Lepisosteus oculatus: one gene and its partners. The protein of the gene in region 1 binds, or shares a complex with, the protein of each later gene. Links are inferred from orthologs where the notes say so. Each region holds a gene or a part of one and is shown on either strand. Other genes may lie near its edges.

The links. Proteins that work in one complex are often made in the same cells at the same time.
Region 2: the proteins of ap3d1 (region 1) and arf1 are in contact, whole or in part, in a cryo-EM structure (PDB 9C5B), measured with the Homo sapiens proteins. The link is inferred for Lepisosteus oculatus from reciprocal best matches to the Homo sapiens genes AP3D1 and ARF1. Residues at the interface, in NP_003929.4 of Homo sapiens: Lys48, Asp50, Phe77, Ile80, Glu81, Ser84, Asp107, Met110, Leu111, Thr112, Thr113, Asn114, Gln115, Arg117, Lys118; in NP_001019397.1 of Homo sapiens: Tyr35, Ile46, Pro47, Thr48, Ile49, Gly50, Phe51, Asn52, Val53, Glu54, Trp66, Lys73, Ile74, Leu77, His80, Tyr81, Gln83, Asn84.
Region 3: the proteins of ap3d1 (region 1) and ap3s1 are in contact, whole or in part, in a cryo-EM structure (PDB 9C5C), measured with the Homo sapiens proteins. The link is inferred for Lepisosteus oculatus from reciprocal best matches to the Homo sapiens genes AP3D1 and AP3S1. Residues at the interface, in NP_003929.4 of Homo sapiens: Leu18, Gln19, Val22, Arg26, Cys60, Thr63, Tyr64, Gln66, Met67, Leu68, Gly69, Tyr70, Asp71, Ile72, Ser73, Lys87, Phe88, Thr89, Arg92, Ile93, Leu96, Gln100, His103, Tyr126, Leu132, Thr133, Ser136, Tyr161, Lys164, Lys165; in NP_001275.1 of Homo sapiens: Met1, Lys13, Pro14, Arg15, Leu16, Ser17, Lys18, Phe19, Pro22, Tyr23, Glu25, Asp26, Gln28, Gln29, Arg42, Asp43, Glu44, Asn45, Val46, Cys47, Asn48, Phe49, Ser80, Glu81, Ser82, Glu83, Leu84, Gly85, Leu87, Asp88.

Annotation. Positions count from the first base shown.
Region 1 is NC_090724.1:9,540,382-9,547,702, forward strand, and holds the start of ap3d1 (AP-3 complex subunit delta-1), read right to left. Parts: upstream 3,108-7,321; 5' UTR 2,819-3,107; coding exon 2,723-2,818; intron 1-2,722. UniProt on the Homo sapiens protein: Part of the AP-3 complex, an adaptor-related complex which is not clathrin-associated. The complex is associated with the Golgi region as well as more peripheral structures.
Region 2 is NC_090701.1:29,758,703-29,766,124, forward strand, and holds the start of arf1 (ADP-ribosylation factor 1), read right to left. Parts: upstream 3,056-7,422; 5' UTR 2,970-3,055; exon of another isoform or gene 2,935-2,969; intron 1-2,934. UniProt on the Homo sapiens protein: Small GTPase involved in protein trafficking between different compartments. Modulates vesicle budding and uncoating within the Golgi complex. In its GTP-bound form, triggers the recruitment of coatomer proteins to the Golgi membrane.
Region 3 is NC_090698.1:54,096,843-54,104,510, reverse strand, and holds the start of ap3s1 (AP-3 complex subunit sigma-1), read left to right. Parts: upstream 1-4,613; 5' UTR 4,614-4,781; coding exon 4,782-4,850; intron 4,851-7,668. UniProt on the Homo sapiens protein: Part of the AP-3 complex, an adaptor-related complex which is not clathrin-associated. The complex is associated with the Golgi region as well as more peripheral structures.

The DNA.
Region 1 (7,321 bases):
AGATGTTTAAAAATTGGCTCTGTCTTTCAAAGGAAAAAACAGGCTTATTCACACCACATTTTACAGTATAGGCAGACCCTCAGTGCACAGCAGTCTCATCCACTCCAGATTGTGGTGTTACCAGACACCCAGGGCACAGCAGTCTGATCCACTCCAGGTTTTAGCATTGTCACACTTGGATTAGAAGGGCTGATCAGTCGTCAGAGCCTGCAGCCTCTGTTTTAGCCACTGTCACAGGGGAGATGTGTGCTGTTAATACTGTCATGTGTCTCCAGTCATGAGACTGACAGGGAGACAGAAGAGTGTGAGAAAGGGAGAGCGAGTGATAACTGCTGGACAGGACAGTCTGACCAGGACACTGCTCTGTGGTTTTAGACTACAGGACAGTGCATGATATAAACTGCACAGACAGGGCACATATATACTGCCAGCAGCCATATCACCCTTCAACTCACAACTGGCAACCCACTGAAGCTAAGCAGGTGTGAGCCTGGTCAGTACCTGAATGGGAGACCTCCTGGGAAAAACTAAGGCTGCTGCTGGAAGAGGTGTTAGTGTGACCAGCAGGGGGCGCTCACCCTGCAGTCCATGTGGGTCTTAATGCCCCAGTATAGTGACAGGGACACTATAGTGGGGCACTATACTGTAAAAAGGCACTGTCCTTCGAATGAGAAGTAAAACCAAGGTCCTGACTCTCTATGGTCTTTAAAAATCCCAGTGTGTTTCTCCAAAAGAGTAGGGGTGTAACCCGGGTTGTCCTGGCCAAATTTCCCCCAGACCTTTACTAATCATGGCCTCAGTTCTCTGAACTATCTTCATCACTCTGATCTCCTCCCCACTGAGAGCTGGTGTGTGAGGAGCGTTCTGGCGCATCATCCAGGTGGGGCTGCACATTGGTGGGTGTGGAGCGATCCCAATTACCTGTAAAGCGCTTTGAGTGGAGTGTCCAGAAAAGCGCTATATAAGTGTAAGCAATTATTATCATTATAATTATTATATTTCGCTATGATGCCACAGAAGAACAAAGAAAAGGAATTTCAGACCAGAAGCTCAGTTAACCGAGTTCCCTGTCCTCCCCCTGTCCACAGGAGTGCCGATCGTAGTTACAGTTCTACCCAACAGCCATAAATATTTCAGCGTCTCCACGGTAACAGACACGCGATCCCCCTGCCCAGAGCTCAGGTGATGCGCGGTCCTCCTCACCTGGGGAGCACAGCCAGCCTGCACGGATCGCTGGCCCACGAGCCGCCCTGTACTGCCCCCCTCGTGTGGCTGGTGCACAGGACAGCTAGAGGAGCTGGACAAGCCCGACACCTCCTCCAGAGTAACAGCAGTCCCTGGACAACTGCACGGGCACCAATATGGGACCTGTCGGCTTCCCTCAGCACTCAGCTGCTTGTCCTCTAACAAACCAGGATTGTATCTCAGCACACCACAGCCTGGTGACATCTTTCGCCAGTCCGGGAACCCGAGTCTGAGTCTCCACTCTCAAACAGGCCATGTTGTGAGGGAACAGGCCAGGCAGTGATGGAACAGCTGTCAGAACACATAACCTCACAGTATCACTGACCCCGTTAATCGATTAAACAGTTACGTTAACCGTTAGATGATCCTAGTCCACTACACTGCAGAGCGTTGCCAAGAGCACCCAGACACACCCAGACCCCGGCTATACTCAAGACACTGGCTGAGAACGAACTCCAGTGAAGAAAGAAGCCAGAGAACACAGCGCCCAGACACTGGCAGGACCAACACACTCAGCCGCTGGGGGTTCAGAGCTGGAGTTTGGGGGTGACTGAAGAGGGGTTTGGGGTATGCGAGGGGCAGATCAGATATTTTAGCATAAGTGTGGGTGGATTGCCAACATCTGGGGTGTACATCCTCCATAGGATTCACAGTGCTTAACAAAGGTATTCAAGAATCCAGATCTATAGTGGTACACACACAGTACTGACAGTGGCACAGCACCAGGCACAGACAGTGACACACAGGGACAGAGGGTGTCACAGCATCAGGGTCAGAGAGTGACACACAGGGACAGAGAGTGTCACAGCATCAGGGTCAGAGAGTGACACACAGGGACAGAGAGTGTCACAGCATCAGGGTCAGAGAGTGACACACAGGGACAGACAGCATCACAGAGGGAAAGGATCAGAGAGTGACACACAGGAACGGAGTGTCAGAGAGTGACACAACACATCAGTGTCCGTGACACACAGGGACAGACAGCATCACAGAGGGAAAGGATCAGAGAGTGACACACAGGAACAGAGTGTCAGAGAGTGACACACTGCATCAGGGTCAGTGAATGAATGGGGACCAGGCTGAAGAACAGGTACATAGAGACCCCCGGACCGCCCAGTAGAGGAACAGAGGGGAGCTGCACGGCTGTCCCGGAAAGGCCCTGCAACAGACTCCCAGGACCGGTATTGCTCTTATTCTTGAATATACATGGCTGGCCGACACAGGAGGCTGAGTGTGGGAACGCGTACTGCCATGACGACTACAGCTCCGTCAGTGCCGAACCAGGTGCTGCCGTACCTCCCTGCCTCACCTCTCCCACCAGCGCAGCCCCACCCCGCCGGGCCGGTCGCTCACCCCGGCCCCTGCCCGTCCAGAACCGGGCCCGGAGCGGGGTACGCCCCGACACGCCAGCAGCTGTTAACGCAAAGCAGACGCGTCCTGCACTCGGACCTGTACCGAACCCCGCAGCCCGGCCTACCTCATCCTCCTTGTGATTCCTGATGCCGCGTACGAGGTCCTGGAGGTTTTTATCAAACATCCTATCGATGCTCCCTTTCACCATCTTCAGAGCCATAGCTGCAGCTCCGGGTTTCTTTCTGCGGACAGAGAAAGAGCGGCGAGGTCAGGGGGTAGGAGGACCAAGACAGGCCCGCTGGCTCGTTCACCCAGCCGAAAGAAAAGCTCCCCCAGCGGGCTGAATCTGAGCTCTGGTCCGGGAGAAAGGAGCCACGGCTCAGCTGTACGGTCCCAGGGAGTCTGGCTGCAGACCCAGGGAGAAAATGGCTGACAAAATGGCGGCGGGTCAGCTGACTGGCTGACTGCGTGTGTGCCGCGGGGGGGCTGCGGGGCCCGGCACCTCGGCGCAGTTCCGCCTCCGGCCGCTAGTGGGAGCAGCGCGCAGCCGAGTCCTAACTCAGTCCCTGTCGCTGTCTCCCGGCGGTGGGGGGGCAGTTATTTTGCGGCCGATTCCAACACAACAGTACTACATAACCGTCATCATCAAATAGGTCAGGACACGCAATATTTCCAGAAATGAAGTTTTACATTATTCATGGATGAATTAAACGATTTCCTCAATATATTTTCCGCTACAGCTCTGTCGGAGAAGCGCTTCCCGGCTGGCCCAGTGGAGGGGCTGTGCCTCGCGCTCCTTAATGCCTGTGAGAGCCCTTGGCACGCAAGCTCAATACTACTACTGCTAATAATAATCACCTTTATTACATTGCACCTTTAAAAATATCTTATTTGAGTGCTTTACGGGAAAAGTAAAAAAAAACAGTTAAAAGACGAAAACAATAACGGAAGAGAAATTGAGAAACACGAGATCCCAGCAGATGAAAGGAGCAGACACAGACATTAAATAAAAGCCTTTCTGATAACCGTGTACGTTTCAATCTTGCTGCCTGCGTTTACTGTTTTCCCCATCCTGTTATAATTAATTTAATAATATGCAATAAGCTACAGTTCATAAGACGCTTCAATTAAAGATGTATGCAACAATCTTAATGACCTCAGAACTAAACCTCGGTTCATGCAGACACAAACAAGACAAGGTCATTGGGCCTGTCGTGTCCCTCCAGCTGCTCAGCAGGTGTTTCACAGATGTTTCTTGAAAGAAGCCAGGGCACCAGCTTCAACAACATGGATGTTCCACACCCCCACAACCCTTTGCGTAAGGCAGTGCCTCGACTATTTAGTTTTAAGTGCACTTTCACATAGTTTCCACTGGCATGCTCTGGTTTGTATCCCACTGGGGGGTCTCTATAAGGGCCCTGGGCTGACTCAGCACCTTTGCAGATTTTGAATACAGAGAAGACTCTCCTGTGTTAGTATCTGCCAGTTTGACAGAACCAGAATCGAGATCACAGACCTGGGTGCCGGCAATAAACCTTTACTCGTTCCTCTGCACCCTGCGCATGCCGACACAGCTCCCTGCTTGAGCTACAGCTATAGAGGAGGAGCAGTGGTCCGGGTACAGACCCTGTGGAGCAGGGGCTGGTGTCACTGGAGTGTCCACACAGCGGCCGGGGTTTCTGTTGGTGTGGTTGTGATTCCGTTTTGTGTCCCATTCCCTGTGCTTTAAATGTCTTCCTGCCATCCATATTGTTTACACTACATAGCGCTTTTCTGGACACTCCACTCAAAGCGCTTTACAGGTAATGGGGATCCCCTCCACCACCACCCGTGTGTAGCTCCACCTGGATGATGCAACAGCAGCCATAGTGCGCCAGAACGCTCCCCACACATCAGCTATCAGTGGGGAGGAGAGCAGAGTGATGGAGCCAATTCATAGATAAGGTAGATAGAACTCTCCTTACACTTTTCTACAAATCCTTCATTGAAAGTGTCTTAACATGCTGCTTCGCTTGTTGGTTTTTATCAACATGAGTACCAACAACTGTAACATGCTGGTAAATCAGTGAAAATAAGTGTCAAAATAATCGGGAATAATCAAATCAACTTTAGCATCCTTTACAGAGGGTGACTAAGAAAGCCAGAAGCATCAGGGAGCGTGTGTCTCAACCCCTCCATTGTGAATTCACACTTCTCCCATCTGGGAGACGCCTCTGTGCCCCCAGGTGTAAAACCCAGACTCAGGAAATCTTTCATCCCCACTGCAATCACACTCTTCAATAGTGCAGTCACTACCTTGTCTCTTTTTTCTTTTCTCCTGTAACACTTCTGTATTCTCTTCCCTTTTGAGGATGTGTATTTGTCATTGTGTTGTGTTTGACTGTGCCATAAGACACATTACCCCCAGGGGACAATAAAGCTTGAATTGAATTCCCAGTGCACCTTCCAGTCCGGGAGCCCAGGCCCGAGAGGGATCTGGGGGCTCCAGCCAGTCCAGAGATGTCGCGCTCCTGCCCTCTCCTTGCCCACAGCCAGGCCAGGGGCAGTGTGGTGGGGACACTGCTGGGACCCGAGCAGGTTAAGGACACAATCAGGGTGAAGAGCCAAAGGGGCTCTGGAATGGGGAGATTAAAGAGGGGGTGCAGGCAGTCTAGATGTCACGTCTTAAACTGCGCTGCTATTTTTATATTTCGGGGGTTAGAGATTGGCGAGTGCATTTCAAACCACAATGAAAGTAAGAGTTACTGTATACATCACAAAGTTCTTGATTAAGTCCAAATCTGTCAGTTTTTCTATAAGGAATGAATTACTGAGATTTAATAACTGGTCTGAGAACCTGGGACTGCAGTTCCCCCTTACCAGCTGTAATTCTTCACAGATCTGTAGAAGGCGCCTGTCTGACAGGCTTGCAGGAGCACTGCGCTGCGGCATTTAAAACTGCACTGAGAGGCCCAGAACCGCAGCTAACAGTCCCCTGCTGAATTCAAACTGAAGATACACACACAAAATATTCATTCAGAATTTTATTTTTCAGAATTGGATTTTAAAAACTAACCAAAAAAAAAACCTGGCTTCTAAACAACAATGAAGCAAAACAATCCATTATGTTCCACATCTTAAAATTTTTTAGCCACGCCAATATTAAAAGCAACTATAATAAATTAAAGAGAAATAAAAAGAAAACTATAAAAAAAAAACAAACATGCTTACATTGTTTGGTTAAAAAAAAAATAGAAAAAAGGTTGTGTGTCAACAACACCTGAGTGAAGTCAGACTGGCTTTAAATCTCGTTTACACACACCTGCTAGAAAACAGAAATAAAGGTCATCATTTACAATGGGCTCAACCAAGGTAACTTAACCCCCCACCCCCAACTCCTGTTACCACCTCAGGACCTCCAGTCCACCAGGGGGCTCCACCTCCAGGCCCACAGCACACCGGTCCATCAATCTGGACCCAGTGAAAATGGAAAGCCTAGAGCACCAGGGCTGGAGGAGTGGGGGCACTCTGGGACACCCGCAAACAGAGGCAATTGTAGGGGGCAACAGATCCCCCAAAATCTGCACTTATCTCAGGTCTGCTCTAACCCCTCCACCCCACTCAGCTTACTCGATACAGAAGACCTGGGGCTGCCTGTGAACGCAGGCCCACGCACACCCCTCTTCTCCCCGGTGTGTGGCGAGACAGCGGGTACAGAGCCAGCTTGTACCCCAACATCCGCAGGACTGCACTCCTGTGCAACGTGTGCTGCATTTCTCCCTCTGGAAAACCAGTTCTCTCTCTTTCATTCAAGCTTTTCTGTGCAGTTTCTTCACACCTATTTCGTCCTCAGCCTAACTGGTGCCTTATAAACCTACAACAAATCAAGAGCCAACTGTGCTCTGAAGCCCCAGGTCTTTTAAAAGCAGCAACGTAAGAAAATGTAGAAAATATATAGTTGGTAAAATAGAAACTTTTCAGTCGGCCTTCTCCTCCAGGGCAGACCTGGAGCCCGGCAGTAAGGCTGAGACAGGCGTCTGCCCTCACTCTGCTGCCCAGAGGTAGACAATCAGCTTTAATTTTTTGAATAATTGTAATTATAACAATTTCAATATTTACGAGCACTGCCTGCAGTGACCTCGCCTCAAAACAATTCTGACAACTGTTCACAACAGTTTTCATTCCTTCCAAAAAATGTACAAATTGGTCAAAAATTATTCAGTCATGTCTTCTGAATGTTCAATTTTGTAAGGTCCCTGGAATATTTTTAAACTTTATATTTAACACAATCCAACAGTAGCAATGAAAGCAGATACTTATTTTTACATAGAGACACACTGGATCCTGACCCAGACGAGGAGCCTGAGCCTGTACAACTACACACACACGCACACGACACGCCCAGGACCCAGCCACACACACCTCCCGCCCGGATTTGGGGTCACCCAAATCTGTCAGGGTCACCTCAGGATTTAGATCTTAGCGGGTAAGAAAGTAAAAACCCACTTAAAATCAGCCACAGACGAAAGTCTGTCTTTCATAACTTCTTGGAAGGACCCAGGCCACTATCTGCAGATGTGTAACCAGAAGCCCCCAGTGGGGCGTGACCCTGCCTGTGAGAGGGCAGGTCAAGTGGTCCGCTGTCCCTGTTGAACTGCAGACAAGTGGAGCCTTACAGGTACGCTGCTCGCAGGTTCAAACGTGCAGACACCCGAGTCTTAGAGACAGTGCATTAGTGCCTCTC
Region 2 (7,422 bases), on another chromosome or scaffold:
AACCATGTTCCACAAGAATTCCACTGTAAGCAGAAGCAACAGTAGCATAATCCAGCCTGGTTACAATTGTACTGAGGGAAATGTGTCTAAAGAGTTTTCACTTGGACCTAAAACCAAGAATGCTTATCTATCTATCTAAGGAAACTTCAGAGACAATTATGGAATAAAATGGCAAAAACAAAGCATTCCTAATAATGAAACATTTATAATAATGTAATGTATAATAATGTTTCTTTATTAGCCCTATACAATTTCTTGCATTAGGAATTTGTCTTTTCGCATACCCCAGCTTTTCTCCATGGAGACACAGACACACAGACACAGGGAGAGAAGCTTGGGGTCAGAGCGCCCCTGGAGCAGTTAGGGTTAAGGGCCTTGCTCAGGGGCCCAACGGAGTAGGATTCCTCTGCCGGCCACGGGATTTGAACCGGCAACCTTCCAGTCACAGGCGCAGATCCTTAGCCACAGAGCCACCGCTCTGCCCCGTATACTATTTATACTAGTATACTTATCAAAAGTAATAGTATACAAAAGCAGCATTGTACACGTATGTATACTGAGACCATGACTGTTATTTTCTTATGGCATACTATATCTGACTAATTAATGATAATGATAATGAATGCAAGCTACAAAGGGAAAAATATTTCTGCATTAAGTATTGTGTTCCATCAAGAGTTTACTTTTTCAAGACCACCAGTATTTCCACAGTATGGATGAAAGCATCTGAAAAACACACTTTTAGGTTTTTTGCCACCTTGTAAAAACAAAAAAATAACATATACTATCAGGAACTGTTGATGGCAAATGATGTGCTTATTACTGCATGAATAAATTCTGCACATCCATACATACTAGACAGTGTTGGATTCTGAACAACTCACTGATCACAGGATTAATTCAATCACCCCTCTTTCACAGGTCTTCTTGTAGTTGTTACATTTCCTTAATTCACATTCCAAAAGGGGCCTTTTATTGCCAACTCCAGCTCTAGCACAAGAGTAAAATACCCCTATGTCTTGTTTAAGAAATAAATATCAGATAAGTAGAACTAAAAACTAGATAACTTGTTTAGTGATGTTACCCCACAGAAATTCTGCTTTTTCAGTTATGCAACACAGATGTCTGCGAGTTATAACTGGTTTGTTATGAAGAATGCTTCATGGCCGGCTATACAGCCCAGTGCTACGTTTAGGTAGATGTAGACCAAAATGTCAGATTTTTTTTATAGCATGGAATTCAAGTGATAAAACAAGATGTCGGAAGCTTGTGGGGTGTCCTGGTCTTGCACCTCTTCCCAATATATTTTTCTGAACTGACAAGTTGACAGCATTTTACAAGCAATCAGAAGATTGTGCATCCTACAAAAGCTTAAAAAATGGAGGCTATTAAATTAATTCATTGACAAGCTACCCAAAAATACACCGTCAAAAAAAGGTTTATAGCAAAAAAGTTGAATATACCCCATGGACTGTATGAAGTAGGCTAAACAACTTGAAATGTTAATTCAATTATTTCCAGCTAAACATCTCTCCATGTTAAGGACTATACTTTCATGTGAAGATGGTACAGCTGTGGGTGAGGGCATTTGCATTCCCCAATGATGGTAAAAATCAGTTAGCTGAAATAACCACCCACCTAACAGTGAGGTCATTTCAGATGTTTCAACACAGCTCCACATAGCTGCACAAGGAAAAAACACCTCAACAAGTTAGGGCATGGAAGAAATTAACGTGGTGTCAGGTCTGAAGATGTCTTAGGGAAAGTGCACTAAGGAAAGGAGGCACGTCTTCACACAAATAGTGGTGGGACAAGGTAGCGAGCTATGTTGTTACAGCTGCTGCCTTGGCTTCTTTTAAGAAACAGCTGGATGAGATCCTCCAATGAACTCCTAACATATGTACAGGCTAGATAAGCCGAAAGACTTCATTTTAAACCTCTCACACGCTTATTTGCTATTGTCATCCTATTAAGGAAATAAAACAGCTAGCATATTGTTCACACTCTCAAATTGCTAGGCCTTTGAAAGTGATCACGGAATGTTCCACTCTGTGTGTGTGTGTGGGGGGGGGGACTCTGAAAAATAAAAAAAAGACTTCAATGGAAATGGAAGAACGCTGGCGGTAACTTAATAGTACTGGCAAATGATCAGTGATAAGCAAAATACGTTATTTCAAAACCGCGCCCAGGTTTCTATGCTGAGATCTTGACTTGCCTGAAGCTTATTTTAGCCAGGGGAAGGCAATGCGATAGGAACAACCACGACTGTAGCCTGTAGAGAACGAAACGATGGTTTTGCGATGCTGGGCCAGGAGTCGGGCTTGCTAGCCTCCTGCACTGCCCAGCGCTCGCGCTGCCTCCAAGGGCTCACCAAGGTTCCGGTTCCGCGTGCTGACGTTCCGCAGTCCCACAAAGGAACAGGACCGTCTTAACACAACGGCTGCAAATTACGCGGCTTCCCCAAACCCATTACTAAACTGCTAAATCCCCCTCCAATGCACTTTACATGCATCCAATTTGAAGATCATTATTACAGTCACAAACACTACATTTTCCTGAAAACACAGAGGAGGCAGCCGAGGAGACTCGGGCCTAATGACCATGGACATCGTCTCACAAGGAAAACAGTTGCAATAACTTCGGCCGATTTCAGTTTTACAGTTGAATCCAGCCGGGATTGTTTCCTGGGAAAAACGCATTTTTGTTGTTCCGTACCATGTTACTGTGAGCATTATCACAGCAAGACAGCCGTAAAACACCTTGAGAAGAAAAGGCCAATCGGCCGTTTTCTCCTTATCGCGTCCGTCCTGAAAACCGGCCCGGTGTTACTGTCAAATTTGAAACCTTGCGACTGCCCGCCCACGTACTTCTCCCGAGTTTCAGCTGGCTTGTGCTCTCAAACGTATGTAATATATGGGATTTTTCATGTCATACCATTAAAAATTAAGTAAATTCACCATCCACCTTACCACCACACAGCACCGCTCGCTTCCTCTTCAAGGCGTTCCCACAAGATGGCGGCTCCCTGTGGCCACGTCAGTGCACCGGATCTTCTTGGGGGGAGAGGAAAAATTTAGCAAATACACCACCCCCTCGAGAGCAGCTCTCGGAAACCGGGAAAACGCGGCGGCGTGGAGGACTTACTGCACGAGTTGGAGGGTGTCCAGACCAAGACTGATATGCCAGTTTGTTTAGCATCGTGTCTGTCAGTTTAGCAAAGATCACATTTGGTAAATTGCTTTGACTGGTAAATGTTTTCTAGGCTAATAGTACATTATGAAACGTGTATGTTCTATTAATTCATTTTTTATTAATGGAACACAAGTCAAATAATATCAAATAATGATAGCTGATGTGTGGTGAGCGTTCTGGCGCACTATGGCTGCCGTCGCATCATCCAGGTGGATGCTGCACATTGGTGGTGGAGGGGCGTCCCCATTACCTGTAAAGTGCTTTGAGTGGAGTGTCCAGAAAAGCGCTATATAAGTGTAAGCAATTATGATTAATTATTATTATTAAGTAATTCTTCGATGTCCCGAATGCTACCAGAATAACCGAATGACTGTTATAGTTCTAATTCAATAATATATGAACTACTGAATTCTTGCAAGACCAAAAACGTTCTATTCTTTTTCTTGAGTATACATTGTTATATGTGTTTGTGTATTGTAAATACTATTCCAAATACAAATACAATGACTCCCCCCCTCCTTGACTCGCAAAACATCTGCAACAATTTAAAGGGGGCAAACTAGTTTTATTTTTTATTTTTATTTTTTGAATATAGTTTTATTTATTCTATAGTGTCAGAAGCTTTTCTACATGTAGTTCAAATCATTGTTCAGTCAATTCCAGTTAATTGAGTTCCGTTTTTGATTAGTATAACTCAGAAGATCTGTTTGAAGGTTTATAGTCAGCTATCACATACTATCTCATCAGTAGGAAGACATGTGTTTCTTGCCAGACAACATGATGCTGCTGACCTACAATTACAGTACTTATTCTTTGAAACATTGCAAAAATAGAAAAAACGATTAAGGTGAAGAAACCATGCCTTTCAACTTGCTATCCTTTGTCACCTGACAGACCATAGAAATCTCCTACATCTGGCTTTCTATTTCTTTTCTGTCTTCTTCTGTACATTTCCGATGTAAATTTAAATTGGAAACCATTGGGAATAGACAAAACTTAACTTAAAATCTCATTGGTCTATGATTTCAAGATGATAGTTTTTACCATCTATCACATCATTTTGTTAACCGTTGTTGAACAGTTTTTGCAGGGACACGCAGAAACACTTTCATCACCCTGCAGCCTAAGCACCACTCTGGCATGGTTCAGGGAAATATAATCAATGAGGTGTAAGAAACAAGTCACATGCTCCAGTAGCTTCAGAAACTAGTATATTACAGACTGAAAAATGGCTGGAACAATTGGATTGCTATATTGCACAGTTACAATTGTATAAACCCTGACGTACTTACACCCAGACACTTGGAAACATCTTTCAGTTGTTAGTGTCTGTGAGAAAACCCACTACTTTGGCAAACAGCTCCTTCACTTTAGGAAGTGGGTAAGCGTGTGCTTCCATACAGCAACCCACTGTGATTTTATAACATCTGCAGTTCTGCAATGATACCTCTGCTTTTAGCATTACTGCATCGGGGACTTTTCTCAGGGCGTATGGTAAACGCTTTGCCTTGTAAAAGTGGGATTGCAGTCTGACTAAAAACATACTCCATCTTACATTTCTCCAGGGTGTGTTCTACTGTCATCAGGTATTTTACTCCCAGTCTAAATGAATGGGCGTTAACCTGACTCTTTCTGGCAAAGGCTGATGGGATTATGGAAGAAGCTCCATGTTGTTAAAGACCATACTCTGGCTTCTTTCAAGAAACAACTGGCCGATCATTTAACTACGAATTTCTCTAGATCTGGACTTGATATAGATGGGCAGAATGGACTCCTTGTGTTCTAATATTGGATTGTTTCCTTTTTCAACCAATAAACTAAAGCAAATCGGATTATAAAATACTGGCACACCAAGCTTCCCAACTAGAGTAATTTTCTCTCCCAAATTTATTCTCAGCTATAAAGATGTCTACTCTGAAACGCAGGTGTGCTAAACATTTAAAGTAAAGTGTTTCTGGCAGCTCCTATATCAACTTGCATTTCAAATAGGATTCCCTAAAGGCTCACTTGCACTTTTATTCCCATTTCATTGTCACTCACAGAAAAACTATACACACCCTGAGACTTGCATTAGCCACCAGTGCTTTCTTTATTCCTTTCTGCAATGAGCATTTCTGCATCTGTGAATTCTGCATGCTTTCTGTACCAATGCAGCTTTAATATCTATAACGGGTGTTTGATAAAAGAAATCTATAGTGGTAAAAGGTATGGTGTGAATGCTTTTGTATGTATATTTTATTTTAAATAAGCATTTTTTATAAATAACATTTTTCATAGGCTAAAACAAAAACTTTTGAAAATGAATCATAAATAAAAAATAAAACAGACCTTTCATTTGAGGTGTAGTGAAAGATTCCATTTGAATGTTTTGTTTAATTTTGTAAGGGAATAATCACCATCAACTGTGAAAAAGAATCCAGCTCATTTTTGTGCATACTTTCCATCCAGTCTTTATTTAATATATATTTACAATTGCTTTTGTATCTCCTATTTTAAAATATTTCTGTTCATTAGAATCCATCAGATTTTAATGACTCTTTCCATAATGACATTAATTATCCTGTAAGCTAATGATCCTTATTTTTATGAGATAATTCATTTTAAATTGCATAACTTTGTTTTTTTTATAACATAAAAGCCATGCCAAAAACCCTGTTGGGCATTCACTTGATTAAAAATACTTTCATTGAAATGTTTTCATAGATTTATTGTTTTCATTTATGGCATCAATTTTTGTTTCATGTACTTTTTTTAAATGCCATATATTATGCAGTGACATTTTTATCTGTGAAGAATACAAGGTGGTAAGGTATTTATTTAGGTGATTGTGTGTGTTTGGATTTTTATGATTAAGTAATTATACTCCTGAATGATAAGATTTAAATGCCAAGAGATTCTGTATCGCATTACATTTCAAAACATTTTCAGACAAAGGTTTGATTTTAACTGACCCCGGAACAATTTTAAATATTGGTTTTAATATGTTTAATTAAATATAGGTATGTGAACATAAGTTATAAATATAAAATGTATGGGGAAAATAACTCCTTCTTGGCATCAGATGTGTTTGAACATTGAATTAAACTGTAAAGTGGCTTGAAATGAAGAAAATGTATAAATTATAGTCTTTAGTGATCCTTGATGATCTTTTGCTTAACAACTTAAACTGTTAAACTTTGCTTAACTTAACAAACTTCTGTTACACTGCTGAGTTTAAGTTAAGAGTGACTAACTTTGAATATACTAAATTGAAGAACGTACTGAAAAATAATTGTTCGTTTTTAGAGGTTGGCAACTCAAGAGGGATCCGTAAAGCTATGGATTTGTGGACACCTGTTTTTTAACTTGAGTTGCTGCTTGAGAAATAATTTGGACAACAGATGGATTTCCAACTTAATTAATATAATGTCAGACGCTGAGAACAATAGGGTACCTCTCCGATCTCTCATCTACCCCAAGTGCCCAAGTTGTTAAATCAATTTCTCCATATCTTTCAGTTTAACTTCAAGTTTTTAATGACAATGATGTTAAAGTTCCGAAGTTAAGTGGTAGTTTATTACTCTATTGCATTGCCCTAAAAATGTATATTGGATGTTTTTGTTAATTTCCAAACAACTGAAATTTAGAGGTTTGCAACCATGAGTGGTTCATGGAATAAATATTTAAGGTGAAAAGGCACAAAAGGTGTGTTGATTCAAATGTTAATCAAAACAGTATATAAATTGATCAGTTAGTGGATGGCTGTAAACACTGTTTAGGGTTTGGTGTGGTAAATGAAAAAAAAAGGTGATTAAATTACCTATATTATACCTAAATTACCTAAATATACCTATAGATATATTTAGCAATTATTTTTACACTTATATTTTTACACTTCATTTTAACCTTATATGCAGAAATCAAGTAAAATGTACAGTACCCCCCAATGGTATACATTAAAAGTAACTTTTCATGACGGTTATTAAAAAATGAAATACTTTAAGATAATATTTTGTGCTTATCTAATTCGGTTTATGTAAAATCCCTGATTAGATGTCCAAATCATTTTCACAAAATTAGAGATTGAGATTTTCTGTTGAATGTACGTTGTTGAATATATTACAAGGAGTGTCTAAATTTTCCACCAAAGTAACAGTGTTCTCTGATATTTTAGTCAAGGAAGTGTTGCTATGCCAGTGTTGCACAGAACAAAATCAAGATGAAATTTTCCTATTCCAAGAAAATGAAGAA
Region 3 (7,668 bases), on another chromosome or scaffold:
ACATTGGTGGTGGTGGAGGGGAGTCCCCATTACCTGTAAAGTGCTTTGAGTGGAGTGTCCAGAAAAGCGCTACATAATTTTAAGGATTATTTATTGTTATATTTATAATAGCTTCTGTAGGTGCTCTACTTTGAATGTTGAGTATTGCGTCTCTCTTTGTTGCAGCTCCACATATAACTAGGTGGGTGTTCCTTACCTGCCATTGTTCCCCAAAAGACTTCACCAGACCCAAGGCAACTGTGTGAATAGAAATGTCACTGCAGCCATCAGCTCTCCAGGGGAACTTGTGCAAAGTTTTTATCCTGATCAGGTTGGATAAAGGAAGGGTCATCATGTCAGCAAACTGGGGAAGAAATGTCAATATCCAGCTGACTGGGCCAAGAAATGACCTGACTCATTTAATTGTGTAAGGGATGGAATACGAAAGTTTTTAAAGTCACCTGTTTTAGAGATCTATGCAACATGCAAATAATTACTATGTAAAACAATTCAATACTTCTTAAAATAACTTTTCCCCGATTTCTTGTTAAAAAACAATCCTTCACACAAGTATCCTGTACCTGTAATGGATTACTTTTTAAAAGTAAATTTCCAGAACACTGATCCTAACATTTACTATTTCTTTTACACATTGTCTACAAGATAAAATTGCGTTTTAACATAAACACTGAAATAGTTTTTCCATCTTATATTTTTAGTATGCTTTTGCTACTTGCTTATAACAAACTGTACTTACTCATATGAATTTCAGAGCAAGTCATTTGGTGGCAAAGGGAACCATTATTGAAGTGTGGTAAGGAAAGGTTAAAATATATCAGTTTATCATATTTATTGTTTACACTGGGAAGTACCAATCTTGAGACATTAGGCCTTCCTAGTTCTGATTCTCTTTACTTCAGCAGCTGGTGGTTTTTCTACTTGAGCTCTTAAGTCTTTAATTGAATCCCCAAATTTAAGCACTAATGTACTTTTTTTTCTGGAAAATGGCCTGATGTGGCTGTGTGCATGTTTGCATTTCTGTCTGCCCTGCGATGGACTGGCATCCTGTCCAAGATGCTTCCCACCTTGCGCCCATGGCTTGCCGGGTAGGCTCTGTCTCCCCTGCGACCGTGTTATCTGTAGATAAAACTGTTAAAAAGTGGGTGGATGTACTAGTTAATGCCTTTGAAATTATTTTCAGTTCTGGAATGGCCAGTAAAGTTTATTTCACATATATTGTAAAACATAGTGAGCAAATTGAAGGCATTTTTAGCAATGAAATAAAGCTCTAAGCCATCAATTTTTAGTAATTTCAGTTAAGGATGGAACTTAAAAATCAGCTGACACAGGGTAATGAAAGCCTGAATTGAAAATCGCTGTTCTAAATTGTACTCGGTTAAAATTACATATAATCTGCGGTCTTTGGCTCGAGTGTTTTCCCATTCCCCGCATTTTCATTTCGAAGACAAACAGTTTTAGGAGGTGCTTAAATATGCATTTTAAAATTGTTTTTGAAATAGGAAAATGTGACAGGGGGACATGTAGTTTATCAACAACCTCCTCCTCTTTTTTACACGCAATTTCATCGCCATGATTTCATGAATATACACAATAGAGATATACTAAATTCGTTTTATTACAAATGCCCCGAATTTCACATCTTAATGCTCTGGGAAAGTACGATTTAAAAATATATACCTCCAACAAATGAATTTGAAGTGATGTTTATTAGCTTTTAACGGGCTCGTCCCATTATCAATGTCATCTTGTTTCGCATTGTCCACTATTATTTCCCTTTTAATAAACCATTTTAAAATCTATTAGCCTCATCTAGTGGAGAAAAGAAGAAAATCGGTTCTCGTCAGCAGCTTTTCAAACCTGCGTAGATTTTGAAAGGGTGATCGAAATTAAGACAAGGATGAGGTCGCCATGTTGTTTGACGCACAACCCCGATTGTTTTAAATTAAACTAATTTAATGATTACCTGCCCAAATATACTCACTTAAACGGAATTTTCTCAAATACCCTGACTTCGAACACAACCACTTTAAAACTGGAGGAAAAATCCTTACTGTCATTATATTCTTCTACTTTGCACGCTAAGTATTTCTGTGCTAAACATTTTCTGAAGAGAAAAATCCCTAAATTGCTGGAATTACTGGCTAAACGGCCCTAGCACAGCCAGAATATCTGTGACAGGGTGTGATGAAATTATGGTTGATATTGAAACTGCCCCAAGTCCCACAAAAGTAATTATAGTTATTAAAAAATAACTAAAATATATTGAAATTTCTTTTTTAAAAATGCATTCCGATATTGTACTTGTATAGAAAAAAGTCTTATTGCACAAAGAGGTTTAAAACATGACTTTAAAACATGGAAGTTTGATCCTTTTCTGGGTGTTTGATTCTCTTTACGTCATATTCAGAAAAACAATCCCTGAGTGTAATTTTCTATTACAAAACTGGTTTTGCTTTACAGTTATAATACATAAATAGTGCCAAAAAGAGAGTGTGAACACATGACAACATTTTAGCAAGTAAACACAGCAAGTAAATTCTCTATGATGGAGTAAACTTAGTTAGCTTGTATCTCAAGCAATAACAACACCATGTACTGACCAGGCTCACACCTGCTTAGCTTCAATGGGTTGCCAGTTGTGAGTTGCAGGTTGATATGGCCACTAGCAGTCAATAGTAAGAAAATGGATGGATGGAGTATGTTATCATTTTGTGGTGTTATCAGTCCTTGTTTGAGTTGGTTATGGAAATTCCATGTAATCAATCCATATCCATGCTGCGCAATCACATTTTCTTCCTTTACATTGACGATCAGTCAATAGGAACACCCCTTATTCTTCTGATTAAACAAGTTTAGCTCAATGATACTTTTCACTAGTCATGAGGATGTGGACCTCTTCCAGTAAGACTGAAGTGTGACTCAAGTGGCCCTACTGATCGAGCTACTATTTTCAGTGCTGTTTTGAAACGTACTGTAGTTATGATTTAACACTCCAGGGAAGAAGCAAGACTCTTTAAAGGAACTGAACATTACAGAGTGTACTTTTATACCTAATGTATTGCAATCATAAGAAATGATATAAGATCAGGCCCTTTTATAATCTTAAATATTTATAAAATATCCTAAATATTTATAACAATGCTTTTGATTACACTAGATAAAAATTGTGTACATTGCAAGCAATTAAGTTATGCTTTCCAGTTGTTTAATTTTTAACAGCTTGTATGTCAACATATTTTGGATGTCCTTTTTCTAAAGTGTTTTATCATTTTATTAAATCAAATACCTGTAAAATAGAGTTGAATAGCCAGAGAACAAGTACTGGATATTTTTTTCATTTTGCATTAGTGAATCTTCCTTTTCCTAAAGTGCACAGGTGAAACTGTGTAGAACTTTTTGCAACAGTATTTCACAAAAATAGGATACCTGTTTTTTTCATGGGATTTTGCCCCCAGACATCTTACAAGTATGGTCCCCTAAAACACAATGTTTATCCTATGTCCCTATTATAAATTTGTTCAGATTAGAAACAGGCTAATACTTTGTGGAACATGTAACATGAACATGTGGATATTTAATTCTTTCATATATGACTTTTTCTTATAATTCTTGATTCTAATTTACAGTATTTCAAAACAACTTATAACTATTATTTTTATACAGTTATTATTATTTTTATTTGATATTAAATATTACACTGATATTACAGTCTGCAAATACACCCTTATCTCTATTTTAAAATACTCTTCCCAGACCATTTCACTTTATGTATATAATAGCATGCCAGTATAATAATTAAGTCCATTTCAAACATAATTTTCATTTTATTTCCAATGGGATTGAAGTTCAACATAACATCTATTTCTTTAAAAATAATATCGAAATTAGCCTTTATTTTAATATTTTAATAAGTCTGCAAATCAATCCAGAAGGTTTTTACAATAGGACATAAGCAAAACAAATGCTGAAGGGTTTCAGGGCTACTTTCACAAGAAAACAGCTATCATCTATATTAATTTTAATCAGAGTATAACATACTGGCATGGCCTTTATCATTATTGCCTCATAGCATTTTATGTTCTCTTCCAGACTGGTGCACCATCTGTACGGTATTTGCTTGTTCTACTCATATTCATGTGGGTTTTCTACAGGTGTTCTGATATCTTCCCACCTCCTAGAAACACTGGTTAGGTTTGACATTTCAGTATTGGCTGTGGGATTAGAGAAATAGAACCAAGTAAGATTGATGGGAAGAACCGCCTTCCCTAATTGGTGATATTTCTGACGTTGTTCCTTCTAAACGTTTCAATCCATAAACGTCTATTTTTTTAAACTGTTGAAAACTTAAAAAAAATAACAAGGTCAAAACAAATTGATGTACAGTATGTAACATTTTTAACTGAACGTGTTCAGATTTAAAATAGTCTAAAATTGATCTGTTTTTTTAATCAAGTAACTTTTTTGGGATTTCTTTTCTCCTTTGTTTGTGTTATTTGATGTTCAATAAACGTTGGAAAAAAATAAACGTCTAATTCATCGCTCGTCTGTGTCGATCAGATTTATGCCCAGCCACACAGTTTGACCTTCTTCGGCTTCTGTAGCGGCGATGAGGAATGAATGCTTTGACGTGGAATGTTTCCGCTTTGTGATTCGGGGGAGGATTTGCAGCTGATGTTCAGGTGGAATTGGGTCTTTAATAAAACGGAATCTGAGTAGTTGTTATCTCCTAGTTCTCAGACTGACCGTCAGAACGCAGCTTCTGATACGTTTTTGGTGAAACCATGATCAAAGCCATCCTAATATTTAACAACCATGGCAAACCCCGGCTTTCCAAATTTTACGAACACTATGTGAGTATAGCTGAATGTGTGTACTGTCATCAATGTGTGACTGGAGCTGAAGTTTTCAATGAAGTCCCTGACGGGAATGTTTTACATAGAAATATAAACTTATGATCACGCTGAAAACGGAATGTTTTTCATTTTTTGTGTCAGTACTGTACGTGTTTTTTTCTGTCCGCTGTTACAAACTACATTAGTATCTGGCAAATCAAGTAAACCACTTTGCTTAGGAGTTGTTTTTTTTATTTTATTGATACAGTCCTTTTTCTATTTCACTCTAGCTCAATACTGCACTGGTATATTTTCCAAAAAATGTTCAATTTAAGTGCTGGCGAGTTAATTTGAATATGCTATCAGCATGAAAGCCATCAGATTCAAGACAATCTGGAGCTGTCAGCCTCTGAGCACCACTAGAATAATACTGTTTTGCTCCTGGAGAGCAATAATCCAGTTAGTTTTATAGATCACATGTACTTTATTGATTAATTAAGCAACTGATCTGTTAAAAGACTTCAGACCCCTGAGGGATGCAGGGAACATGATTTGATTCCAAATAAAGGCTAAATTTATTTAGCAAATTATCTGTTAAATTGAAATAGTCTCAACTATTGGCTTTAAATATACACATAAACTTGGCTTCTTTATACATATAAAATATATATAGGCTTCTAAATAGAATGCTGACCAATATAAACTGCTGTATTGAAGCTGTTTTGGAGAGCTTTGCAGACTTCTTTGGATGGGAATACTGAATTGTGCAATCTTCATTTCTATAGATGCCTTAGTAATTTCTTCACAAAAAAAGTGGTTTTGTAAATCTAGTAATGGATTTGTACATGGTTATTTCACTACACATAGCTAAATTACTAGATAAATATGAAGCTTTTTAATTGTGCATGCCAAGTTGTACTTGATCCAGTCAAATAGTGTGTTAAGGGACAATGCATTGTCCTCTGTAAAGGCAGCAGTGAAGCATTCATGTGGTTTGAAGTCAGTCTCTTCTACAGCTGTCCCAGCGCAAGTCTCTAATGACATTTCTCTTTCTTTCATAATGCAGTCTTGAAACTTTCTGATGTGCTTTGCAATCTCTGCAGTAAGACAGGTGGTTGTAATTTAACATTGTAGTGGCTAGTACAGTAAATGGAACAGTTGATGCATTGTAAGCAGATGATTTTGGCAAGTTTTCAGTTACATTAGATGTACAGTATAGCATATCTCACCTATAATCCTAAAGGTTTGAAAATATATACAGTCTGTCTGTGTCAATTTATGCTATTGTAGTCATCTTTGAAAACAATCTATTTTATAATACATTATCCATTTATAATGCAATAATACATTCAAATTCATTTTAGAAGTAGGATTTGTTTGAACTTTGAGGAATATATCCTTGATAGTCAAACCGATTAAAAGAGTTAAAGTAACCAAGATTTTGTTTTGGCTGCTTTAGCCTCTGTGATGTGTCATTTACTCATGCAAGCATGTTGAGGTTTTTAAACAAGGTATGCTTTAAGATTTAGTTTACCAAAAGTATTTCCCCAGTGAAGTAACTATTTTAAGTCTTTTCAGCTCAATGTCAGAGGCACAAAAAGCTGTGAATACAAAGGTTTTAATTTTAACTATCTGTTCTTTTTTTGCTGTAATTTATTGATAAACATTAAAATAACAAAATAACATATACTGTACACGTGTTGTCCATTTAGGTATTTTGTAAACAAAACGAATGGTTACTTAGTAAATTCTTGACTCTAGTGTCGGAGTTCCTTGTTGCACAGTTCAGTACAGAAATGCAAACATTTTTTTTCTTCAGTTATTAGATACACTTAACATTTTTTATAATGTTTAACATGAATAAATAGGTATTTGTTTTAGGGAGTAGATCTGCAGATTACATCAGCTGACATTCAGTGTTAATCTTGTCAGCATCACCAAAATCATGTGGTGCTTTTTTTCTCTTCCATGTGATGCAGGCAGCGTGAAACGTATGCACACCCATCTTACGTTAATAACGTAATGAGATACTACATTCACAGGAAATTAGTGTTCAGAAGTGCCGAAGGATTATCCTGTAGAGTTATTTTAAATGTAAGCCACTGAGAAGAAGATAAACTGATAATAAAAAGTATTTTAACATGGGACAAAATTTGTGCCCAGTTTCCTACTATATGAATGAAGCCCAAAAATAAAAAAATGATGTAATACGTCCGACATCCTGTACATTTTTTATGTTAGCTCATGAAAAACCCGGACTGTGGGTATTGAAAATTTACAGAAAGTACTTACAGATGCATCTTAGTTTTTTTGGACCAGACTAGCAAATCAGGGACAATGTTCTCCTCTTTTCCTGTGCCATTTCAGTGTACTACTTCAGCTGTAATTTATGCTTATGCAATAATGCTTGGGGATACTTTATGTTGATGGTGTGTTGCCAGACCTTACTGTCCTACACAAAATATAACTGTTGGATAGTTGACTATTACTGAATCCTGAGTCAAACTATTTAAAAATGGTGAAGGAGGGAGGCTAAGTGTTACGTGTATGTGAAGTAAATCATTTGAGTTTAAAACCCGTAGCCTGTTTTTGTGGTTTAAAATTAATTCATATGTTATGTAAGAGGTGTGGTTTATTGTGTAAGAACTGTAGTTTGTATGGTCGCTGCTTTTAAATGATGTTCCTTCATTAGATGTGTTAATTTGTGTGGTAATCTTAGGAAAGGAAAGGGAGAATGCAGGAATCAGGTGATTTAAATTATAGGAATTCGGACACCGTGACAGAGGTGACTTCTCGATAGTAGATGAGTGGCAGATTGTTACAGAATGAACAAAAA